Stegostoma tigrinum: one gene and its partners. The protein of the gene in region 1 interacts with the protein of each later gene in a pairwise test. Links are inferred from orthologs where the notes say so. Each region holds a gene or a part of one and is shown in the gene's direction. Other genes may lie near its edges.

What was found.
Region 2: the proteins of guanine nucleotide exchange factor for Rab-3A-like (region 1) and nudt18 interact in binary tests that used the Homo sapiens proteins (3 or more experiments, as listed by UniProt). The two-hybrid records come from large-scale screens. The link is inferred for Stegostoma tigrinum from reciprocal best matches to the Homo sapiens genes RAB3IL1 and NUDT18.
Region 3: the proteins of guanine nucleotide exchange factor for Rab-3A-like (region 1) and rab11a interact in a two-hybrid assay, tested with the Homo sapiens proteins (2 studies listed by BioGRID and IntAct). The two-hybrid records come from large-scale screens. The link is inferred for Stegostoma tigrinum from reciprocal best matches to the Homo sapiens genes RAB3IL1 and RAB11A.

What each region holds. Positions count from the first base shown.
Region 1 is NC_081370.1:18,132,041-18,139,437, forward strand, and holds the start of guanine nucleotide exchange factor for Rab-3A-like, read left to right. Parts: upstream 1-4,301; 5' UTR 4,302-4,575; coding exon 4,576-4,748; intron 4,749-7,397. UniProt on the Homo sapiens protein: Guanine nucleotide exchange factor (GEF) which may activate RAB3A, a GTPase that regulates synaptic vesicle exocytosis. Promotes the exchange of GDP to GTP, converting inactive GDP-bound Rab proteins into their active GTP-bound form.
Region 2 is NC_081393.1:15,506,010-15,513,680, forward strand, and holds the start of nudt18 (8-oxo-dGDP phosphatase NUDT18), read left to right. Parts: upstream 1-4,662; 5' UTR 4,663-4,781; intron 4,782-7,671. UniProt on the Homo sapiens protein: Mediates the hydrolysis of oxidized nucleoside diphosphate derivatives. Hydrolyzes 8-oxo-7,8-dihydroguanine (8-oxo-Gua)-containing deoxyribo- and ribonucleoside diphosphates to the monophosphates. Hydrolyzes 8-oxo-dGDP and 8-oxo-GDP with the same efficiencies.
Region 3 is NC_081386.1:35,467,188-35,475,167, reverse strand, and holds the start of rab11a (ras-related protein Rab-11A), read left to right. Parts: upstream 1-4,971; 5' UTR 4,972-5,120; coding exon 5,121-5,160; intron 5,161-7,980. UniProt on the Homo sapiens protein: The small GTPases Rab are key regulators of intracellular membrane trafficking, from the formation of transport vesicles to their fusion with membranes.

The sequences.
Region 1 (7,397 bases):
TTTACAAGAAAGAATGTAATTTTAGTCAAATGACTGGGAGAACCATTGTAGTACTGTTGGGTAAAATATTTATACTGTTGGTTTTATGAAAGGCGGAGGAAACACATTCAGAAAATTAGTTTTGTTTTGACTTAAGAGCAGATAGTTCAGAGTTTTAGTTCAGAAGAACCCGGAGTTCACTTTCGAAGGTAGAACAGGAGAATTGAGATAATGGCTTGGCGGTATTATCATATGACTGCTAATCCAGAGACCCAATTAAATGTTCTGGGGACCCTTGAATCCCACCATGGCAGATGGTGGATTGTGAATTCAATAAAAATTTGGAATTAGGAGTCTGCAGATGACCATGAATCCACAGTTGATTGTTGGGAAAACCCATCTGGTTCCCTTTAATGTCCTTTAGGGAAGGCAACTATCATTCTGACCTGGCCTGGGCCACATGTGACTCCCCAGACACACAGCAATGTGGGTTGACGTTTCATTGCCCTCTGGGCAGACAGGGATGGGCAGTAAGCGCTGGCCTCATACCATGACGTATAAAACAAATCAAGTCAGTGCAGGGGAACTATCATCAGCAGAGGCAGTCTCGAGTTTGTGGGGCTTCCAAGCAAGGAGAGTTTGGATAGAAATCTTCAAATTGTTAGAACTGAGAAAATTTAAGGCCATAAGAATTGTGAAATGTACAGATTGGCAAAAAGATTGTAAGATTGCCACTATAGATTAAGCAAAAGACATGGGGGAAAGCCAGCTAAGTAAAGATTTCAGAAAGCTGGATTCCAAAGAAGAGTCAGATTGCACTCAAAATGTTAACTTTATTTCTCTTTCCATGGATGCTGCCAAACCTGCTGAGTTTATCCAGTACTTTCTGTTTTTATATTTAAAATAGCTGAAATTGAAGTGATGTTTCTCTGGGATTGAGTCTCTGAAGTAGATAATGATGGCAAATAGGTTGAAAATTTGTTTTATTAAGATTTTTCTAACTTTGTACATACACATTGTTATTTTGTGTGATAAACTTTTATTTTCTTATCAGAGAAAATCTACAGCCTCTTGTGAATATGTTTCAGCAACTAACCACAATAACCAACTTCAAAATTAACCACATGATCCCTCCACCTCCTCCAGAACTTTCGATTCTCTGGTCCCCAACACCTCATCATTACATGGACGTCCAGTCCCTAAACACCTGCATTCCCCATACAGATGGTCTAACGGCTGTCCACTTCTTCCTGTCCTGCAGGCCGACCAGTCCCCGCCCACTGACACCCTCATCCACTTGGCCGAGCTCATCCTCACCCTCAACAACTTCTCTTTTAATTCCTCCCATTTCCTATAGACAAAGGGGGTGGCCATGGTTACCCGCATGGGCCCAAACTATGCCTGCCTCTTTGTAGGTTACATGAAACAATCCCTCTTTCGCACCTATACTGGCCCTAAAGTCCACCTCTTCCTCTGTGGCATCGATGACTGTATCGGCGCTGCCTTGTGCTCCCACGAGGAGCTCGAACAGTTCATCCACTTCACCAACACCTTCCACCTCAACCTTAAGTTCACGTGGACCATCTCTGGTACCTCTCTCTCCTTCCTGGACCTCTTTGTCTCCATCTCTGGTAACCACCTGGAAACTGATAACCATTTCAAGCCCACCGACTCCCACAGCACCTAGAATACATCTCCTCCCACTCACCTTCCTGCAAAAATGCTATCCCCTATTCCCAATTCCTTCAGCTCCGCTGCCTCTGCTCCCAGGATGAGGCATTCCACTCCCATACATCTCAGATGTCCTCATTTTTCAAGGACCACAACTTCCCCTCCACGGTGGTCCAGAACGCCCTCAACCTTGTCTCCGGCATTTTCCGCAACTCATCCTTCACACCTCCTCCCCTCAATAACAACCAAAACAGAAACCCCCTCATCCTCATTTACCACCCCACTAACCTCCAGATCCAAAGCATCATCCTCCGACACTTTCGCCATCTGCAATCCGACCCCACCACTAAAGACATTTGTCCCTCCCCACCCTTATGTGCTTTCCGGAGGGACCACTCTCTCCTGGACTCCCTTGTCCGCTCCACACTCCCCTCCAGCCCTACCACACTCGGCACATTTCCCCGCAACCACAGGAAGTGCTACACCTGCCCCCCACACCTCCCCCCTCACCCCCATCCCAGGCCCCATGAAGACTTTCCACATCCACCAGATGTTCACCTGCACATCTGCTAACGTGGTATACTGCATCCGCTGTTCCCGTTGTGGCCTTCTCTACACCGGGGAAACCAAGCTGAGGCTTTGGGACTGCTTTGCAGAACACCTACGTTCATTTCGCACGAAGCAACTGCACCTCCCAGTCGTGAACCATTTCAACTTGCCCTCCGATTCCTTAGACGACATGTCCATCCTGGGCCTCCTGCACTGCCACAACGATGCTACCTGAAGGGTGCAGGAACAGCAACTCAAATTCTGCTTGGGAGCCCTGCAGCCCAATGGTATCAATGTGGACTTCACAAGCTTCAAAATCTCCTCTCCCCCTACCACATCCCAAAACCAGCCCAGCCCGTCCCTACCTCCTTAACCTGTCCTTCCTCCCACCTATCCCGTCCTCCCACCCCAAGCCCCAACCCCATCTCTACCAACTAACCTCATTCTGCCCCCTTGACTTGTCCACCCTCCCTGGGCTGACCTATCTCCTCTTTACATCCCCATCTACACTCACCTCTACTGGCTCCATCCCCGCCTCTTTGACCTGTCTGTCTCCTCTCCACCTGTCTTCTCCTCTATCCATCTTCTATCCGCCTCCTCCTGTCTCCCCATTTATTTCAGAACTCTCTCCCCCTCCCACATTTCTGAAGGGTCTAGGCCCGAAAAATCAGCCTTCTTGCTCCTCTGATGCTGCTTGGCCCGCTGTATTCAACCAGGTCTGCACCTTGTGATCTCATATATGATCCATCAAACCAGGCTTCATTTCAGGATCTGACTTGTCCAGTATTTTTATCAGTTGGAATTATAATACATTTAAAAATCTCCTTGAAAATGACATACTTTTGTGATCATACCAATATCTCCTTGTGTAGCTTGATATCATATTTGTTTAATTATGTTCTGATAAGCATCCTAGGATGGTTGATAGTGTTAAAGGTACTCTACGAATATGTGTTTTTTGTTGCTAGTCTCATCAAACCAACTAAATCATCCTAGCAAACAAAACCAGATATGCTGTTTTACTCTGCTTTTTTTCCAAAGCTGCTCAGTTTAGCCCTTAGTTATGGTGTGATGAACCATGAACATCATCATTGTCAAACGATGTTTTGATATTTGAGACAGAGATTCAGTGAGGTGGCAATGTTCTTGCAATCCTGTTCTGTGAGTTTAGCAGTTCGAACAAAGATCAATTAACTCATCATAAACTTTGTCTGGCCCGGCGAAAATTTTAACTCATTGAGGAATGGATCAACTTCTGGGGGAGAAGTTTAAATTATGGTCTTATGCACTGAAATCCCTCAGCATTTTCACTCCTCGGCTTTTGAGAGCATTGAGATCATCTTCTTAAGGTAGCTAGGGATCTTAATTATCAAAAGTTTAAATTCCAGTGATGTAATTCAGTCTCTGATACTGCATTAACAGTGACTTGCATGAACCTGCAGACCACCAGGGGCTTACAATTCTGGGAGCTGGGACCAGGAGTGGAAACACTTTCTGCTTTTCTGTCTTCATCTCTCCCTCCTCAACTATAACTGACTTACTTATTCAGCTTGCTAGAACTAGTCTCTCAAACTTTGTGATTGCCGATATTTTGCTGGGGTAAAAGGGCAACATTGCCCATCCCTAAATGCCCACAAGGCAGTTGAGAGTTAACCGCTTTGTTATGGATCTGGAGTTACATGTAGGCCTGGCTGGGTGAGGATGGCGGTTTCCTTCCCTGAAGGACTTTGTGAGCCAGATGGATTTTCCCACCAATCAACAATCATCTAATGGCCATCTGTAGATTCTTAATTTCTGATATTTTTATTGAATTTAAACTCCACCATCTGCCATGACGGGATTCAAATATTAGCTGAGTTTTTGGATTAATAGTCTAATGGTAATACTACTAGGCCATGGCATCCCTGCATTAATAAATCTCTGGATTTAAGATTGGCTGTAGACTTGAAGCTTATTTATCTCTTTTCTTTCAGTCTTTCCTGAGAGTATTTCATTGCTTAGCTTTTGTCGCCTGGAGTTAATTATTACGGGGCAATAACAAATGAAGCTGGTTCTTATTACAGCCTGTGTCTGACTGGCCAAGGGTCAAAGCGTCTCTCGGTGTGTCCTTACGTCAGTAAAAAGCTGCAGCTGAGGACTGAGAGTATGAGGTGCTTGTGTCTGTTATTAGTTACGACCAACCAACTCACTTCCAAAAACGTTTCCAAGTTTGTTTTTGCTGTGCAAATTTTCCATTGCCTTATTATGCGGGAAGCCAAAACAAGGAAACAGAGTTAGGGACTGCAAGATGGAGCCGGGATCAAGAGGAGTTCACACTCTGGGAGGTCTCATAAACAGGGTTATGAGGTAAATGCAGCTGATTTCAATTTCCAGAGAATGAATCTGGACTTGGCGATGACAGGAGAAACAGTTCAAGGGGATTGCACCACCTCTGCCCCTCACATTCCTGCAGGACCTCTCAGCAGGTGTACACAGCCCTGTCCGGATGGTACAAAGTTTCTGGAATCTTGCACAATGCTAAACAGTGAAGAGCAGTCAACCATTGACAGGTAGGAAATATTGTGAAATAAACACAGAGCGGGGAGATTTGGGGAGGGGGTATAAAGTATAATTGCTTCTTATGCACTGTCGTGTTTTCAGACCAGAGTCTGATCAATACTGTCAGTCAAAGTAATGCGGGGACATTCCACAGTCCTAAGTCACCAAACTGTGTGGCAACAAAATTACACAGAGTGGCTTCTGAAATACAAATGGAACAATAATCAGTTCAAAGCCCACTTTTAATCTGGCCACGACGTCTCTGTTGAGAAGATTGAGATAATGTTGAAGGAAGCCTGAGCACTGCAGGAAGATTTTTTAATCAATTAGAGATGTGGAGAAGTTTGTTTTTCAAATGCTTGAGGAAGAGGAATACATAAATAAATAAAACACCTGAGCCACACAGGAATTTGTAGTTTCACTGTGGGAAATAATGCAGGACAAGTCATTGAAACAGAAGGCAGTGTTGAAGGAAAGACTAAATAAATTATATTATCATTTTACATGTGAAGATTCGACAACTGCTTTTGATCTGCAGTGTGGAAAATTGCATATGCCACTGATCCTATACAAACTCTAGGATATTCACTGCGACTAGAAATGACAGAGTCAGCAGGTGACAGATAATGCTGTAAGTGAGCAACTTATTTACACTAATGTGTAGCATAGCACCACAGAATGCCTCAACACAGACAAGCAAAGACATTCTATATCATATATATTGTCAACTAAATGGGAGGTATTCCATATGCATCAAGAAAAGGAGGCAATGGGATTTCTGCAGAAAATCAGTGTTCAGTTTCACACCAGGATAGTCTAGAACATTTACAAGAGGAACCTGGCTCCACAGAAGATGGCAGCCACACAGCACAGTCAAGCAACAGCAAGGTGTTCCCACATTAGAAATAGTGAGACAGAAGAAAATAACATTTAACAGTACCAGAGTACTCTATCTAAAGATTATCAGTGCTATATGTTGGCAACAGAGTATGTAACTAGAGAATTATTAAGGCTAGATATCCTTCCTAATGCAGATAAAGCAGTTATGGAGGAAATGTCTGATTCTAATGCTTCTTACTGTAAACTTTAACCAAGTCTGGGACTCAGAATACTACCTGGGACTTCCTTCTTGATGCCCCAACTGTGACATAGGTGGAGTCCTCACAATATCATTGTCTGTACGAGAAAACCCTCATGTGGAAGTAATGCCACTACCTATAGAGAGAATCACTTTTTACCCAAGGACAATCTTAATTGCTTCATCTTTGGAATAATCTTTAAAATAAATGCTCATTCTTCTTGTGGTCTACCTGACTCGACGGGGTGGGGGAGTGTGTGTGTGGTGAAGGTGTGGAGTGATGTTGTCGCACTGGATGATACAGCTATAAACCCTTTACATCAGGGATGACACTCATTCTATTATGAGCCTTGATGAGTAAAATTGGTAATTTTGTACACAGCATATTTAAGTAGATCATATTCCCTCTTAGCGCTGAACTGAGAATGTCCTTGCTTATTTATTATATAAATCTTGGAGACAACAATTGTTGGGGGCCTGACTCCAACTCACAGAGATACAATGCCATTTTCCAACTCACTGCACCACTAAGAAATTTAACATGGTTTGGCGAGTTTTGAGAAGATTAACATGGTTTGGTATATTTCAATAGAAATAGGTACAAACTTGCACAGCTAGAGAAGAAATAGATTCGTTGAGCAAAGACTCATTAAGTGTTATTTCCTGTGAGGTAAAGTAAGATATACTAGATATTTTATATCTAGAACTATGTAAAATCTTTCAATTCAGCAACTGGCCATTCAGCGGCACAAATCTTTTGCCAGTGTTTATGTTCTACACAAGCCTCTTTCCCAACCCAATTCAGCTGTCCTATACCCTTTTTATTTCTCTCTACTCTTATACTTATCTAGCTTTCCTTTAAATGTATCTACACTAATTGCCTCACCGTTTCATGTGGTAGCATACTTCGTACTGTAAAAGAATATCTAAAGCAACCTAAAGCTTAAAACACTTGCAATAAACTGTAGTTTGAGGAGGTTTCTGGCTGAATTATACATTAGACAAAATGTGCCATGTGCTCTGAGTGGCTGGAGCAGTGGAATGTAATGTACAATGTTCACTCAGTTGATTATTTAGGGAAATGCGCCCTCAGTGTTGCATGTGGTGGTAATCTGAACTGTAGGCAATATAGTTTTGTGGCTTTCCAAAGGATGAAAGGAGGGTTGAAACCTGTTGCCTGGATTCTGAACTTTATTGCTGGATGAGGAGAAAAGATTCAAAAAGTATATCTATATAAATTGAGGTTTAATAGTTGCTCTTCACAATAGGCAAATAGCCCCAAGTTCACCTTGGCCAATGCTGTGTTGTCCTTATTCAAACAAATGGGTTAACTCTCTGTCATTCACTGAGCTTTGGCCTGCAACCAATATAAACATATACAATGGACTGCAAGTTCTTTTCAGATATCCTAATCTGTTCCCTTGCAAATAGAAACCTTATTCAGAGTCATTTGTGCTCTAAGTATTACTATGAAGTGTAAAGTCTAAGCAAACATAAGATCATCAAAGATTAACTTTGAGGAGAAAAGTAATCTGATAATGGGCACATTCTAAATGCTGTGAATTTGATAACTTTTACTGTC
Region 2 (7,671 bases), on another chromosome or scaffold:
CCTAGTCGTGAAATCCCCCCCAAGGGAAAAGACACTTACCATTCACCTTAGCTACATCCCCAATGGTTTTATTAAGCTCTATAAGGTCAGCTCTCAACATACTTTGCTGCAGTGAATAAAGTCCAAGCCTCCCCTTATAACTTGAGCCCTCCATTCCCAGCAACATACTGGTAAATCTTTTCTGAACCCTCTCCAGCTTACTAATAACCTGCCTATAACAGAGGGACTAGAACTGGACACAGTGCTCCAGAAGAAGCCTCACCAACGACCTGTACAACCTCAACATGACGTCCCAACTCCTACACTCAAAAGGTCTGAGCAATGAAGGCTAAAAGCCTTCTTAACCATCCTGTCTACATGAGACGCAAACTTCAAAGAGTTAAGCATCTGAGCTCCTACCTCTCTCTGTTCTACAACACTGCCCAAGTCCTGCTCTTGTGTATTTTCCCCAGATGCAATACCTCATGTTTATCCAGATTAAACTCCATCTAGTTGGAAATAGTTGGCTAAAAATAATGTCCATTTGTAAGGGCTTTCTTATGGACTTTCAGAATGCATTTGACAAAGTTCTTCAAAGCAGATGTTTTCAGATGAAAGGCAAGGAGATAAGGGCAACTGGGCAGTAGAGACTCATGGCTCAGTGTCAGGAAGCAGTAGGTGGTTTAAGGCTATGGTTTTTCAGTATGCAGTGGTGGTTTGGATTTTGCTCTGTTGCTCCACACTTTACACACAGAAGGGGCGATCAGGTTTCCTAGTGATATCAGCGTTGTTAATGCAATAGGCGGTGATCAGGACAGGCCTCAGGCTCAGTGAGGCCACATCCGGGAAGAGAAAGGTTCCAATCCTCACAACCCTTCACCTCCCCCGCCACAACCCGCAAGTCCTTGAGGACTCGCCTCCGAGTGAACTTGCCAAAACTCCGCCGAGGGAATCTCACCTCTGTTTCCCCTCAGCCCTCCATCCCACCCTCCACCCTCCCCGCAATGTCGAACACAGGGTCCTGAGCCCCACTTCCTCTCTCTCAGCACTGTCTGGATGTCTCCACGTCACACAGCTCACCATCCCCCACCCCACCTTCTCAAGGCGGTTGCGGTGGGGAGCTCTTCGCATGCTGTCTGACCTGCTGTGCTTTTCAAGCTCCACACCCATTGACTTCGACACATCACCTTGTTCCCTGGCCAAAATCTGTGCCTCAGGCTTCCTGCAGTGCTCCAGAGAAGGTCAGCACAAGCTGGAAGAGCACACATCATTTTCCACTTGGGAACTCTAGCTTTCTGCACTCAATATCGAGTTCAACAATTTTTGGGCTTGAGGCCCCTTCTCCCGTGTCCTTACCCCAAACCCCACACACCAGGCCTTGTTATCACATGGTCTGCTCAATCAAACTACCAATCGTTAGCTTCTAACAGTCCCCATTAGTAACTATTCATTCTCCCAAGTTGACTTTTATCCACTCCTTTGCCTGCCCAACTGTTTTTCTATCTCGGGCTATCATTTCCTCGCCCACCTACGCACTTTTCTGGATTTAAAAAAAACATCCTTTTCCTAGTTCCCATGAGTTCTGAAGAAGAGTTAACTCTGATTTCTTTCCACCGGGGCTGCCAGACCTGCTAAGTTTTTGCAGCCAACTTCTGTTTTTGTTTCAGATTTCCAACGTCTGCAGTTCCTTTGGTCTGTTCGATTGATTTTTTTAGAATTGGTGGGCTGTGCGTAGCCAGAGTGCAAGAAGGAAAGCGGCTGCAACAGAACCATTTCTCTGGGATCTTGCTGCTCCCTTCCATTGCCCCAGAATTTGAGGGGGGGGGAAGCGGGGGTAGGGAGCATAGCAGCAGGAGTGGCAGTGCCCTTGCACAGTTGAGCCACCCATAAACACCGGAGCCCCCACCCACACCCCATCAATTCCCCTCACACCTGGACCCTCAACACCAGACCCCGTTGACCACACGGAAATCTATTGTCGACTTGTCGGAGCACACCCTTCAACCAGACGGAATCAAAGTTCTCAGCTGAGGGCTCAATTTCTGCCCCGCTACCAAAACGGACCCCCCTGGTCTTGTGGCAGACACGGAGGAATTCATCAGGGGGCTGAGGCTCTGGGAATTCTTCCTCAAACCCCGAGATGTCAGCAGTGAGCCCAAACAGACAACCAACAAACCGGAACACAACCTTCAACTGAACAGACTGATCAAGACCTTTGATCCAGATCGTCTGATTATCCTATGCACTATCATCCTGCGCATTTCTCATGTTGGAGAGTTCTGCTGCCTTCCAAAGATACAAAAGCCAATACACCTGGACGTCCCATCGTATCAGGCAATGGGACCCTGTATGAGAACCTCTCTGGCTATGTCGACGGCATCTTGAATCTCACTGTACAAGGAACCCCCAGCTTCCGCCACGACACGACAGATTTCTTACAGAAACTCAGCATCTACGCACCAGTCAAACCAGGAACATTCCTTGTCGCAATGGATGTTTTGGTGCTCTACAGCAGCATCCCCCACGACAAAGGCATCACTGCAACAGCCTCAGTACTCGATACCAACAGACACCATCCTACAACTCATCTGTTTCATCCCTGACCACAACGTCTTCACCTTCAACACCCTGTTCTTCATCCAGACACATGGAACATGGGGACTGTACGTGCCAACGTGTCAACATTTTCACGCACAAGTTTTGAGCAAGACTTCTTTGCCGCACAGGATCTCCGACCAACGTTACACACCAGATAATTGATTACTTCTTTTCTTGGTGAGGAATCATGAAACAACTACATTGTGATATCGACAAGTTTCATCCCACCATCACACTTACAATGGATTACTCTTCAGAATCAGTCTCATTCGTGGACACACACATCTCCATCAAGGACAGATACCTCTATCTTATTCAACTGCAAGCCCATGGATAACCTTGTGATTCTGCACTTCTCTAGGTTCCACCCTAAACATATTAAAGAAGCTATCCCCTACGGACATACCCCGTGCATACACAGGATCTGCTCAGATGAGGAGGAATGAATCAGACATCTAAAGGTTTTGAAAGGTGCCCTCATAAGAATGATACACGATGCTCAACTCATCGACCATCAGTTCCAACGTGCCACAGTGAAACACCACAATGACCTCCTCACAACACAAACACAGGATACGACTCAGAAAGCACCCTTCATTGTCCAGTACTTCCCTGGAGCGGAGAGACTCAGAAAGCACCCTTCATTGTCCAGTACTTCCCTGGAGCGGAGAGACTCAGAAAGCACCCTTCATTGTCCAGTACTTCCCTGGAGCGGAGAGACTCAGAAAGCACCCTTCATTGTCCAGTACTTCCCTGGAGCGGAGAGACTCAGAAAGCACCCTTCATTGTCCAGTACTTCCCTGGAGCGGAGAGACTCAGAAAGCACCCTTCATTGTCCAGTACTTCCCTGGAGCGGAGAGACTCAGAAAGCACCCTTCATTGTCCAGTACTTCCCTGGAGCGGAGAGACTCAGAAAGCACCCTTCATTGTCCAGTACTTCCCTGGAGCGGAGAGACTCAGAAAGCACCCTTCATTGTCCAGTACTTCCCTGGAGCGGAGAGACTCAGAAAGCACCCTTCATTGTCCAGTACTTCCCTGGAGCGGAGAGACTCAGAAAGCACCCTTCATTGTCCAGTACTTCCCTGGAGCGGAGAGACTCAGAAAGCACCCTTCATTGTCCAGTACTTCCCTGGAGCGGAGAGACTCAGAAAGCACCCTTCATTGTCCAGTACTTCCCTGGAGCGGAGAGACTCAGAAAGCACCCTTCATTGTCCAGTACTTCCCTGGAGCGGAGAGACTCAGAAAGCACCCTTCATTGTCCAGTACTTCCCTGGAGCGGAGAGACTCAGAAAGCACCCTTCATTGTCCAGTACTTCCCTGGAGCGGAGAGACTCAGAAAGCACCCTTCATTGTCCAGTACTTCCCTGGAGCGGAGAGACTCAGAAAGCACCCTTCATTGTCCAGTACTTCCCTGGAGCGGAGAGACTCAGAAAGCACCCTTCATTGTCCAGTACTTCCCTGGAGCGGAGAGACTCAGAAAGCACCCTTCATTGTCCAGTACTTCCCTGGAGCGGAGAGACTACGCCATGTACTTCACAGCCTTCAATATGTCATCAATGACAATGAGTATCTTGCCAAGATGCTCCCTATATCTCCACTTGTCACCCTCAAACAACCGCCAAACCTTAAACAAACCATCATTCACAGCAAACTATCCAGCCTTCAGGAGAACATCAATCACAACGCCACAATACCTTGCCAAGGCAACCTCTGCAAGGCACGTCAGATCATTGATATGGATACTACTATCACACATGGGAACACCACCCATCGTATACACAGCAGCTATTCATGTTACTCAGCCAGTGTTGTGTACGTCATATGCTCCAGGCAAGGATGCTCCGAGGCAAGACTATGCAGATGCTACAACAACGGATGAATGGACACTGCAAAACAATCGCCAGACAGGAATGCTCCCTCCCAGTCGGGAACACTTCAGTGATCAAGGAAATTCAGCTTCCAATCTTCAGGTGAGCGTTTCAGCCCCGCCCCTAGCCCCATCTCCGGGTAATGACGGGCAGCTACCCAGACCAATCAGGAAAGAGATGCCGCGTCGGGCAGGGGGCACGGACGCAGTGGCGTCATGCCGCAGCCCGGGTGAAGAGCAGTTTGCAAGGAGGAAGGAAGCAGGGCCGGGAGCGTGCGGTGTCGCCTTGGCGACGGGGCCTAGTCGGTCTGGTGGAGGCCCGGCGCTGGACGGAATGGTCAGTTGATGGGAGGAGAACGAGAACGGGATTGGGGCGGGGAGAGCGCGAAGCGCCGCGCGGTCGCCATGGACCGACAGTCGGGTCAGAGTGAAGAAGGGGGGGGGTGGAGGTGGATGCTGGCAGCCGGTGAGAGCTGGACCAGCAGGCCGCAGGAGGGGGATGTGGTGCTGGCCGTGTCATTGCACTCGCACACACATCACCATCAGAACAGCAGGAGGCCATTCAGCCCATCGAGTCCCGGACCTGATCAGCCTCAAATTCCAATTCGCTACCTTTTCCCTGGATTTCCTTCCTGATTTAAAGCACATCTCTCTCTGCGTCAGCCCTCTGCGGCAAACAACCTCCCTCTGAGAGAGGAAATTCCTCCTCACGGCCGTCTCGAATGTGTGACTACACCCCTCCCCCTATCACTCTGTGGTGGCGTCCCTTTGCTCCAAGTCTCTTCCAGAGGGCAGGCCTAGTCCCACCTCTACATACACCCAGAACCACAGCCATGTGGTTGACCCTGAACACATGGAGAATGGAAAGAGAAAGTGAGCCATTAGAGATGTACAGAACAGAAACAGACCCTTTGGTCCGCACCGACCAGACCCATCCCAGTCTGACCTCGTCCTGTTTGCCATTATTTGGTCCATATCCCTCTAGACCCTTCCTCGCCATATACCCATCCAGATGCTTTTAACATACTGTAATTGTACCAGCCTCCACTGCTTCCTCTGGCAGCTCATTCCATACACGCACCAACTTCTGTATGAAAAAGTTGCCCCTCAGGTCCCTTTTCAATCTTCTCCCCTCTCACCTTAAATCTTTGCCGTTTGGTTTCGGAATCCCCTGCCTTTGAAAAACGACGAGAATTGAATGCGGTATTCTAAAAGTGGCCTCATCAATGTCCTGTACGGCCACAACGTGACCTCCCAAATTTTGTACGTAATGCACTGACCAATAAAGTCAAGTGCCAAATGCTTTCTTCACCACCCTGTCTGCTTGCCAGTCTACTTTCAATGAACTCTGAACCTGCTCCTCTTTGTTCGACAACACTCCCCAAGCATTTCAGTCCTGCCCTGATTTGCCTTACCCAAAAGCAACACCTACATTTATCTCCATCAGCCACTTCTCGGCCCGAGGAAGGGTCTAGGCCCGAAACGTCAGCCTTCCTGCTCCTCTGATGCAGCTTGGCCTGCTGTGCTCATCTACCTCTACACCTTGTTATCTCAGCCCATTAGCCCATCCATCCCTCCAGTAGATGCCTATGTGTAACTCATTCTCATGAATTTGTTATTTCTTCTGCACTGTCGCACTTCTGTGATGTCTTGTTTATCTTGACGCAACAGGAACGGTTTCCTGGCCCTGCGTCAAAATCGATGTAAGACTCAGTCAGGGCTCCTCTGTATTAACATCTCTTAGGAGTGACAGTGTGTCCCTCAGTACTGAACTGGAGTCCATGTTGCATGGATTTTTGAGTTTAAGTCCTTATTGAGTGGGACTTGAATCTACAAGAATTCTGCTTCGGGCAAGAGGGTACATCCAGACAGCATCTTGTGGGAACAAATGGAAAATAAATTACAGTTAGTGTTGATTTGTTAAAAGGCAAAAGTATGTGATAAACTTGAGTGTTCTTTGGTCAACTGGTGGGGAGATTGAGGGTGCTGCAAGTATATATGGACTTTCTAAAGACACAGGGCAGAGGTGATTAAACATTCAGGATGAATATTTTCTTCATAACAGCTTTAACAACCCTGCAATTTATCAACAGAAGAAGTTCAAAAACAATGTTGCTATGTTTAGAGGCAGTGTGTACCCATGCGTTTGGAAAGATATGGAGGACTTGCACAGGCATCAGAAGAGACTGACAAGTATGGTATCTGGCTTCTGTGGACAAATCAGGCTGGCCAGTGTTTATCGCCCATCCCGAGTGGCCATTGAGAAGGTGGTGGTGAACTGCCTTCTTGAACTGCTGCAGTCCGTCTGCAGTGGGTTGACCCACGATGCCGTTTAGGGAGGAAATTCCAGGATTTTGACCCAGTGGAGGAACGGCGATATATTTCTAAGTTCAGGATGGTGAGTGGCTTGGAGGGGAAATTGAAGATGGTGGTGCTCCCATATATCTGCTGGTTGGGAGTTCAGTTATGTGGAGAGACTGTTGACTTCATTCGTGATGTTGATAATCATGAAGTATTATTTTGGATGAGAGATATATCTTCAGTGGCAGTAACTAAGCACAAGCAAAGGTACTGATGTGCAGCAGCTTGCGAGACCTTGAGGGGGGCCGTGTGGAAGCAGATTCAGTAGTAGCAATCAAAAGAGAATTGGAGGAGGACTTATACAATTAAAAGTAGGGCCTTAGGGGTAGTGCTATAGAACAGAGAGACGTAGGAGTTCAGGTGCATAATTATTTGAAGTTTGTATCACATTAGACAGGGTGGTTAAGAGGCGTTTATCACGCTTGCCTCCGTTGCTCAGACCTTTGAGTATTAGAGTTGGGACGTCATGTTGAGGTTGTACAGAACATTGGTGAGGCATCATCTGGAGTACTGTGTCCAGTTCTGGTATGTATTCTGTTATAGGAAGGATACTATTAAGCTGGAGAGGATTCAGAAAAGATTTACCAGGATGTTGCCAGGTATGGAGCGTTTCAGTTGTAAGGAGAGGCTGGATAGACTGGGACTTTTTTTCACTGGAGTAGAGGCGGTTGAGGGGTGACCTTTTTGAGGTTTATAAAATGACCAGCGATACAGATAAAGTGAATAGCAGGTATCTTTTCCCGAGAGTGGGGGATTTCAAAACTACAGGACATATTTTAAGGTGAGAGGAGAAATATTGAAAAGGGACACAAAGAGCAATTTTTTTAATAAAGGGAGTGGGAAAAGCTCCTTCCCCTTAGGTAGGG
Region 3 (7,980 bases), on another chromosome or scaffold:
CTTAGGAAGCTAAGGAAATTCAGGACATCCACCATGACTCTTACCAACGTTACAGATGTACCACCAAAAGCATCCTATCTGGATGCATCACAACTTGACATGGCAACTGCTCTGCCGAGACCACAGGGAATTACAGAGACTTTTGAACGTAGCCCAGTCCAACATTAAAAAAAAGGCCTTTCTTCCATTGACTCCATCTACACTTCCCGCTGCCTTGGGAAAAAATCCAACATAATCAAAGACCCGTCCAAGGGGCGACACGGTGGCTCAGTGGTTAGCAATGCAGCCTCACAGCACCAGGGACCCGGGTTCAATTCCAGCCTCGGGCAACTGTCTGTGCGGAGTTTGCACGTTCTCCCCGTGTCTGTGTGGGTTTCCTCCGGTGCTCCGGTTTCCTCCCACAGTCCAAAGATGTGCAGGCTAGGTGGATTGGCCATGCTAAATTGTCCGTAGTGTTCAGGGGTGTGGGGGATGGGTCTGGGTCTGGGTGGGATGTATCAAGGGGCGGTGTGGACTTGTTGGGCCGAAGGGCCTGTTTCCACACTGCAGGGAATCTAAATCTAATCACTCTGGTTACACTCTTCCACCTCTTCCATCAGGCAGAAGAGACAAAACCTTGAAAACACTTACCTACAGATTCAAGAACAGCTTCTCCCTGCTGTTATCAGACTTATGAACAGATGTCTTATAGATCAGAGTTGATCTCTCTCTGCACCTTCTCTGAAGCTGTAACACCATAAGCTGCATTCAGTTCTTTTGCCCTGATGTACTTATGTAAGGTATGAGTTGCCCAGTTAGCACACAATACAATACATTTCACTGTATCCCGATACATGTGACAATAGTAAATCAAATCAAATTTTAACTTTAAAATTTCAATCAATGACAGATCAAGGTGGAGCTGGAAGAACACAGCAGGCCAAGCAGCATCAGAGGAGCAGGAAAATTGAAGTTTTGGGTCAGGACCCTTCTTCAGAAATGGGGAGGAGGAAGGGAGCTCTAAAATAAATAGAGAGGATGGGGTGGGACTGGGGATGGTAGGTGGGATGGTGATAGGTGAGTGCAGGTAGGCAGGTTAGGGATGGGTCAGTGAGGTAGGAGGGGTGGATAGGTGGGTGAGAAGATGGACAGGTTGTGTCAGGTCAAGGAGGCAGGGATGGGGGGGGGTTGGACATATGATGAGGCCTGGATGAGGAGATTTTTAAACTGGTGAAATTCATGTTTAGGACGTTGGGGCCATTTGGATTTATGCATGTTTAAAACATGGGAAGTTAAAAGCAGCACAAAGGCTGTACATTAACAGCTGATGAAGTGGCTTTTACACCTTCAGAAAGATGCTTGTCACATTGATTACCAAAAACAAAATGCTCAAATCCTGCATCTGACATAAAAAACAACATTGAAATTAGTTTCTCATATCCAGATAAAAATGCTTGTTAAAAGAAAAAGTTTGAAATATTGGTCAGATTTTGGAGTTGGGCAAATATTAAGCTTGTCAACCAAACCTTTTCTACATTTTGCATTGAAAAGTTGCTGTTAGCCAATTCCTAAAAAAAAGCAAACCACCTTTGACTTCTGTGAAGAAGGAAAGTCACTATGGAGCCAATCAAATTGAAGAATCTAAATGTGAAGTCTCTGCTGGAATACTTGATTCACTATCAAATCTGGTTCATAAAGAGAGAGAAAGAAATTTTAGATTAAAATGGAAAACAAAAGAAACAACTATTTCTATTATAGAGATAACAAAGTGTGGAGCTGGATGAACACAGCAGGCCAAGCGACATCTTAGGAGCACAAAAGCTGACGTTTCAGGCCTAAGGTCTACGCCCGAAATGTTAGCTTTTGTGCTCCTAAGATGTTGCCTGGCCTGCTGTGTTCATCCAACTCCACACTTATTTCGGATTGTCCAGCATCTGCAGTTCCCATTATCCCTGAACTATTTCTACTTATGCTTTAAACTGATTTTCAATCACAACAATTTCTTTAAAAATGTTTCAAAAAAATCGACATCTGAAAGAATCAAACTTCATATCAGGGAAAAAATAATTTTCAGAGGCACAAGTTACTTGCCAGTAATTAAAGCTTATTACACTACTAAAATAATGCTTTTTTGGAGTCAGGTGATCCTGAAAAGAAGGACTTGCATTTATACAGTGCTTGTCATGACACTGCCAGTTTCAAAGTTTTACAGAAAATGGATCATTTTTTGAAGTGTAGTCTCTGTTGTAATGTACGGAACACAGCAGCTAATATCCACTCGGCAAACATTCATAAACAGGCATGTAATAACAGCCAGATAATCTGTTTCTTCTTCTGATGTTAGTAGCTATGAGGATTTATAGCTGGCCACCCAAACATTTCAATGTCCATTTATGCTGAATGTGAGTCCAGGAATATATAGAATACTTGCAAAATCTCAGCACCTATCTTAAAAAGCCACTATTGACAAGTAGATCCATCACTAGCTCAGCTGTGCCAGATCCACCTTGTACAGACTAGGCTGAGATAACAGAGTTCTGCAGCAGACCAAAGCTCCTAGTTTACAAAAAGCTGTCATCATCATAATCCAGGACAGCAGTGAGACCTGGAATCTGAATATTCAAGAAATTCCAACCACACAGCCTCCACCACATCTTCTGAATTCAATGGGAGGACAATCACAAACTCCAAATGTGCAAAACATCTATAAAAGCCTGTTCTGCATCCGGGCAAGCACTGTCAATCCAGAGCTGACCTGCACGGTTCTCGATATTTGCCCTGGACATGACAGGGGGTAATCGCTGCCCCTCTGTGTGATTGGGAAGCTGGAGATCCTGCTAGGATGGGTTGGTGCTGATGTGGGATGTTCTCTTCCCCCACGGACCAGCAGAGGAGGCCCTGACACTGGGCCGTGCAAAGTCTGGACTGAGTTTAGCCCCACTCTTGGGTCAATGCAGTCTCAGTGTTTCGAGGAATGCCCAATGCTGTAGGAAGAAGGTCAATGTCCTTCTCCACTCCACCAGGATAACTGTCACCATCTTCTCTCTGATACCTCATCCTCACTCTCTCACACTGCACCCACCTGGGCCTGGTGCATGTGGTGACATTGGAGAATCCGCACAGCAGCAAAACATGTCACCTGAACAGTGGCAATTTCAATGTTGGTTGGGTCCAGTGTAGATGGTGGCAAGGCAGTGGAGGGGAGATGGCGTTACAGGTGTCCTTTAGGGTGAGCTGGCTCACAACTGACAGACTCTCTTTTTTAATTCTTAAAAATATTCAAAATCATGGCAACAGTGGAAAAGCTTTTCACTGTATTTTACTGTGTTTCTGACTGTAATATACATAGAACATAACAGCACAGTACAGGCCCTTCAGCCCTTGATGCTGTGCCGACCTGTCATACCGATCTGAAGCCCATCTAACCTACACTATTCCATGTACGTCCATATGCTTATCCAATGACGACTTAAATGTACCTAAAGTTGGCGAATCTACTGCAGACAAAGCGTTCCATTCCCTTACTACTTTCTGAGTAAAGAAACTACCTCTGACATCTGTCCTATATCTTTCACCTCTCAATTTAAAGCTATGCCCCCTCGTGCTTGCCGTCACCATCCTAGGAAAAAGGCTCTCCCTATCCACCCTATCTAACCCTCTGATTATTTTATATGTTTCAATTAAGTCACCTCTCAACCTTCTTTTCTCAAATGAAAACAGCCTCAAGTCCCTCAGCCTTTCCTCGTAAGACCTTCCCTCCATACCAGGCAACATTCTAGTAAATCTCCTCTGCAACCTTTCCAAAGCTTCCACATCCATGTGATGATAAAATCATAAATCACCTCCCACCATACTCTCCCACTCTCACAACTGACTGCGACATTCTCCCTCAGTCACCCTCACGCACCACAACCCCCCAACACCCCTAATCTTACATGTCTGATGTCTATTCACTTACTTGTGACACCATTCCATTAGTACCAACTGAATTAGCTGTGCCATCCCTTTCCACCTGCTGTAATATCTGCCTCCCTCTCATTCCAGAAAGAAAACAGCTCACAATATGGCAGAAAGACTCAAGATTCACCCTTCATGAGGAGAGGACCCTGCAGTGTTTGGAGACGTGTGGGTTCGCCATGGGAAGTGCAGGGAGGTGTCTGAGTGGGAAACAGAGCGAACATCGTTACCCCAGCCATCCTCTGGGTGGCGCTCCAACTACATGTTTCTCGCCGCAGTGACATCACGGTCACGGTCCCAGACCGCGTCCAATCAGAAAGAAGGTATCTAATGGCCTCGCCCTATGACGTATCAGACCCCGCCCCAAACGAAAACCAAAAGATTTGAGGTTCAGACGATATTGACAAACTTAGTGATTTATTGACAAATCTACCGTTACTATTAACTAATTTATTTATCTCGTGTTCATTAATTTATCAACAAATCCATTACTTAATTTATTAAGCCTCTGTTATTAACTAATTTTTCAAAAGCTTTTATTAATTTATATACAGTTATTTATTAACAGGCTTGTTTATAAATTAATATATTAATACACTTATTAATTATTTAATTAAGACTAATTAATACATTTATTAACAGACTTACAGGGGCATGTATTAAGTAATTTATTAATCCACTATTATTATTAACTAATTTATTTAGTTTACATTATCAGACTGTAAACGATTCATTAAGTTGACTGTTATCATTGAACTGAACTACTGAGTATCATTTATTAGTTAACGTAGTAATTAACTTATTATCGACTTTCTTAACACATTTAACCCAGTGTTACTTATGTATTAATTAACCCTGATTATTATTTAGTAACCCAGTGTTATTTATGTATTGATTAACCCTGATTATTATTTATTAACCCAGTGTTACTTATGTATTAATTAACCCTGATTATTATTTATTAACCCAGTGTTATTTATGTATTGATTAACCCTGGTTATTGTTTATTTATTGACTCAGTGTTATTTGTATATTAATCTATTGGTTCGCTCCCTTTTTGTTGACAATTTCCGGCACGGTCGGGCGGAAATACAATCTGGGAGAATTCCTGACGGATTGTGATCTTCGCACCGGAAGCGGAAACAAGCGGCTCCGGGAGTCTGTGGAACTTTCAGCCGAGAGCGATGGGCGCCCGGGACGACGAGTATGATTATCTGTTCAAGGGTGAGTCCCCGGCCCCGGCCAGCGAGGTGCCCGCTTCCCCCTGTCGGGCGACTGGGCCCCGGGGCCATGCCCCTTGATGGGGCATCAGTGCCCTCTTTCCCCCCGATCAATCCCCCTCCCCTTACCCAGGCCCCATCGGCCCATCTCCCCATTCCCTGGGGGCTCGCTCCTCTCGCCCCGTCGGCCTTTGTTGGTGTTGCTGTTGAACCAAAAGGTTGTTAATGATTAGACTTTGCTGAGAGCTGCATATTAATAGGAGGGAGCATTTCACTTGGGAATAGGCCGTCGTTATACTTCACACGTAGCAGGTACTTTCCCAAAACTGGACATTGCTGTGTTTAACCTTTATAAAGAAAACATCCTTAGTGCCTACTGTCGATGTCTTAATTCTGAGTTAGTTTTAGTTGACTTCAACTGAGTTTTTAATATAGGAGAAATGGCCCGAATTTAGGGATTGGTGTGAGCTCCAAGAACTCCGGTAGAATGGATCTGGTGAAGAGTTAAATTGTCTTGCAACTGTTGGGCATTCTTCAGCTTTCGAAAACATTTGTCATACTGTGTTTTATTTGTATAGACTAATGGTAGGCCTGAAATGTTTGTACCCTTGTCTGCCAGATTAATGTAGCTAATTACTACTACTTTCTTGACTATAAAGCTCACTTCACTTAGTGCATTTTTGACTGCCAACTGAAATGGGGGTTCTTTTTAATCCAAAGCCTGAAAATTAATTCAGTTTTAAACAAACTACTGCAATTTGTGTGGTGTTTGAACTTTTGGTTCAAGTAGTTGGGGAGATACTTGTATATGACATGGCATGTGTGTGTACAGAATGTGACTTAACCTAAGTGGGTCAAATATTTAGTGGTTTCTTTTGAACTTTCTTTGAAACATGATATTATTCTGACTAGACAGATAACTCACCGTTTAAGAGGTAACAGTTGAAGGTACTACATTGTAGTTCAGTCTGTGGCACTTGATTCTTCTAACCTTCGATCACTGACATCCACCCCTACAATGTGGCAGCTATTAAGATTTTGAGGGATTTTAATTGACAGCTGTGTTTTTAGCACTGTAACAAAGCAATGAAGTACCAATAGTGTCATCACTAATCTTCCTGCATTTAACTTGTGACTTATCTCTGACTGAGGAGTAAAATTGGGGCCTGCAGCCAATATCAGTATTACGCGGATCCACTATTCAGTTCTGAACTGACACCAGAAACAAGTGGAGGTTTTCTGTTTCTTAGCACCTGTCAATGGTGTACCACTGATCAGCTGGTCCAAAGCTAAGTAGCATTGATGTCTTTGAGAATGTCTCCTATGAATAACCACAATTTTCCACTTCTTCATGTTGTTGTAATTAATTTTACTGTTTGCAAATTTGGCAATTACAGAAATTCCAGAATAGGGAGTTGCTAGAATTAAATTACAAATCCTTTTTGTGAAAAAATTGACAACGATTGCAATGCCACTACTAACTGACAACTTGTTTTTAATGTGGATTGAATGTAGATTATTGGAAACTAGCACTTCCAGTTGGAAGAAAAGTTTCTGGTCTCCAATGGACTGGAGAAAGGAAGGACTTAAATAGCTATGTTGTATAGGAGAGTAACATTTGGAGTAGCTTATAAAAACAAATGAAGCAGGTGTGAGGATATGGACGTCTAAGTATTGTAATCTTGGGCTTTCTGATTTCGTCTAACAGATGCAGCATAAAGGGATCCAGTACTGTCTACAGAGTACTTGTTGAGCTCTTACCACCTCTTCCTTTATTCCTGATAAATTTATTGCAAACTGTACTAGTTCCAAAGTAATAATGAAATCTTGTGCTTGTGACTTTTTTCTAGGGAGGAATGTTCTACGAGGTTGAAATTTTAAATTGAATTAAAAATTCACCAATGGCTAAATGATGCAATCTATTTCTTGGCACCACCTGCGATCACTTTGTTCGGATTTCCTTGAAGCCATGTTGCGTCATGAATTCAACTGAATCTGTTCAAGGGCTAGTGGTTCTAAAAAAGGAATGGTTGGGTGTGTCCACTTTGTACCAAGTGACAAATTTGGGGAGAAACAATGGCCAAGTTAGCAGTAAGGAATAGTTTTGGGAAATGAAGGCGTAATAAAAGATCATCAAATGATTTTTGTCATGCTGTTTACTGGCAGTGCCAGTATTTAAAATGCAATTTTGCACAAATGGAGAGGCCTGATTCACTACCACCCAAGCCAGCAATTTTAGACTGGGATTTTTAATCTCTAGTGCTTTTTTATTTACATTCTGATTTTGGGTTTTGCATCAAAGGAAATGCTTTGCATTTTAAAGCGATTCATAACAAAGGCATCTCATTTTATTTGGGCTTTTAAGTTACAGAACAGTTCTGGGTGTGTTGCTTTTAATGAGTACAATTATCAACTGAGGATTACTGTTCTGAGAGATGATACTAAAATTGAGGTGTTGGTGTTAATACTTGTTTGAGTAACTGCTCTGACCCAACAGCCCACTAAACCATGATGAGGACTGCTCTGAGTACTACTTTTGGAGAGCTGGGACAATAGTGATGGGATGGAACAAGTTGGATTGCAACTAGTACGACATCATGGCTCCAGTTGTATTTTCAGACAATGGTGTGGTTTTTATACACTCTAAGTATTGCAGACACTGGTCTATCTGACATTTGTTCTGCTGTAGTTAACTTCAGACTGAGTGCTTCCTGTTTTGTAATCCAGGAATATGAAATGCTAACTTGAATCAGTTAAACTTTGGTTGTCATAACACTGAGGAAAACAGCTTGAATTTTGTGAAGATGATGCTCTTTTAAATACA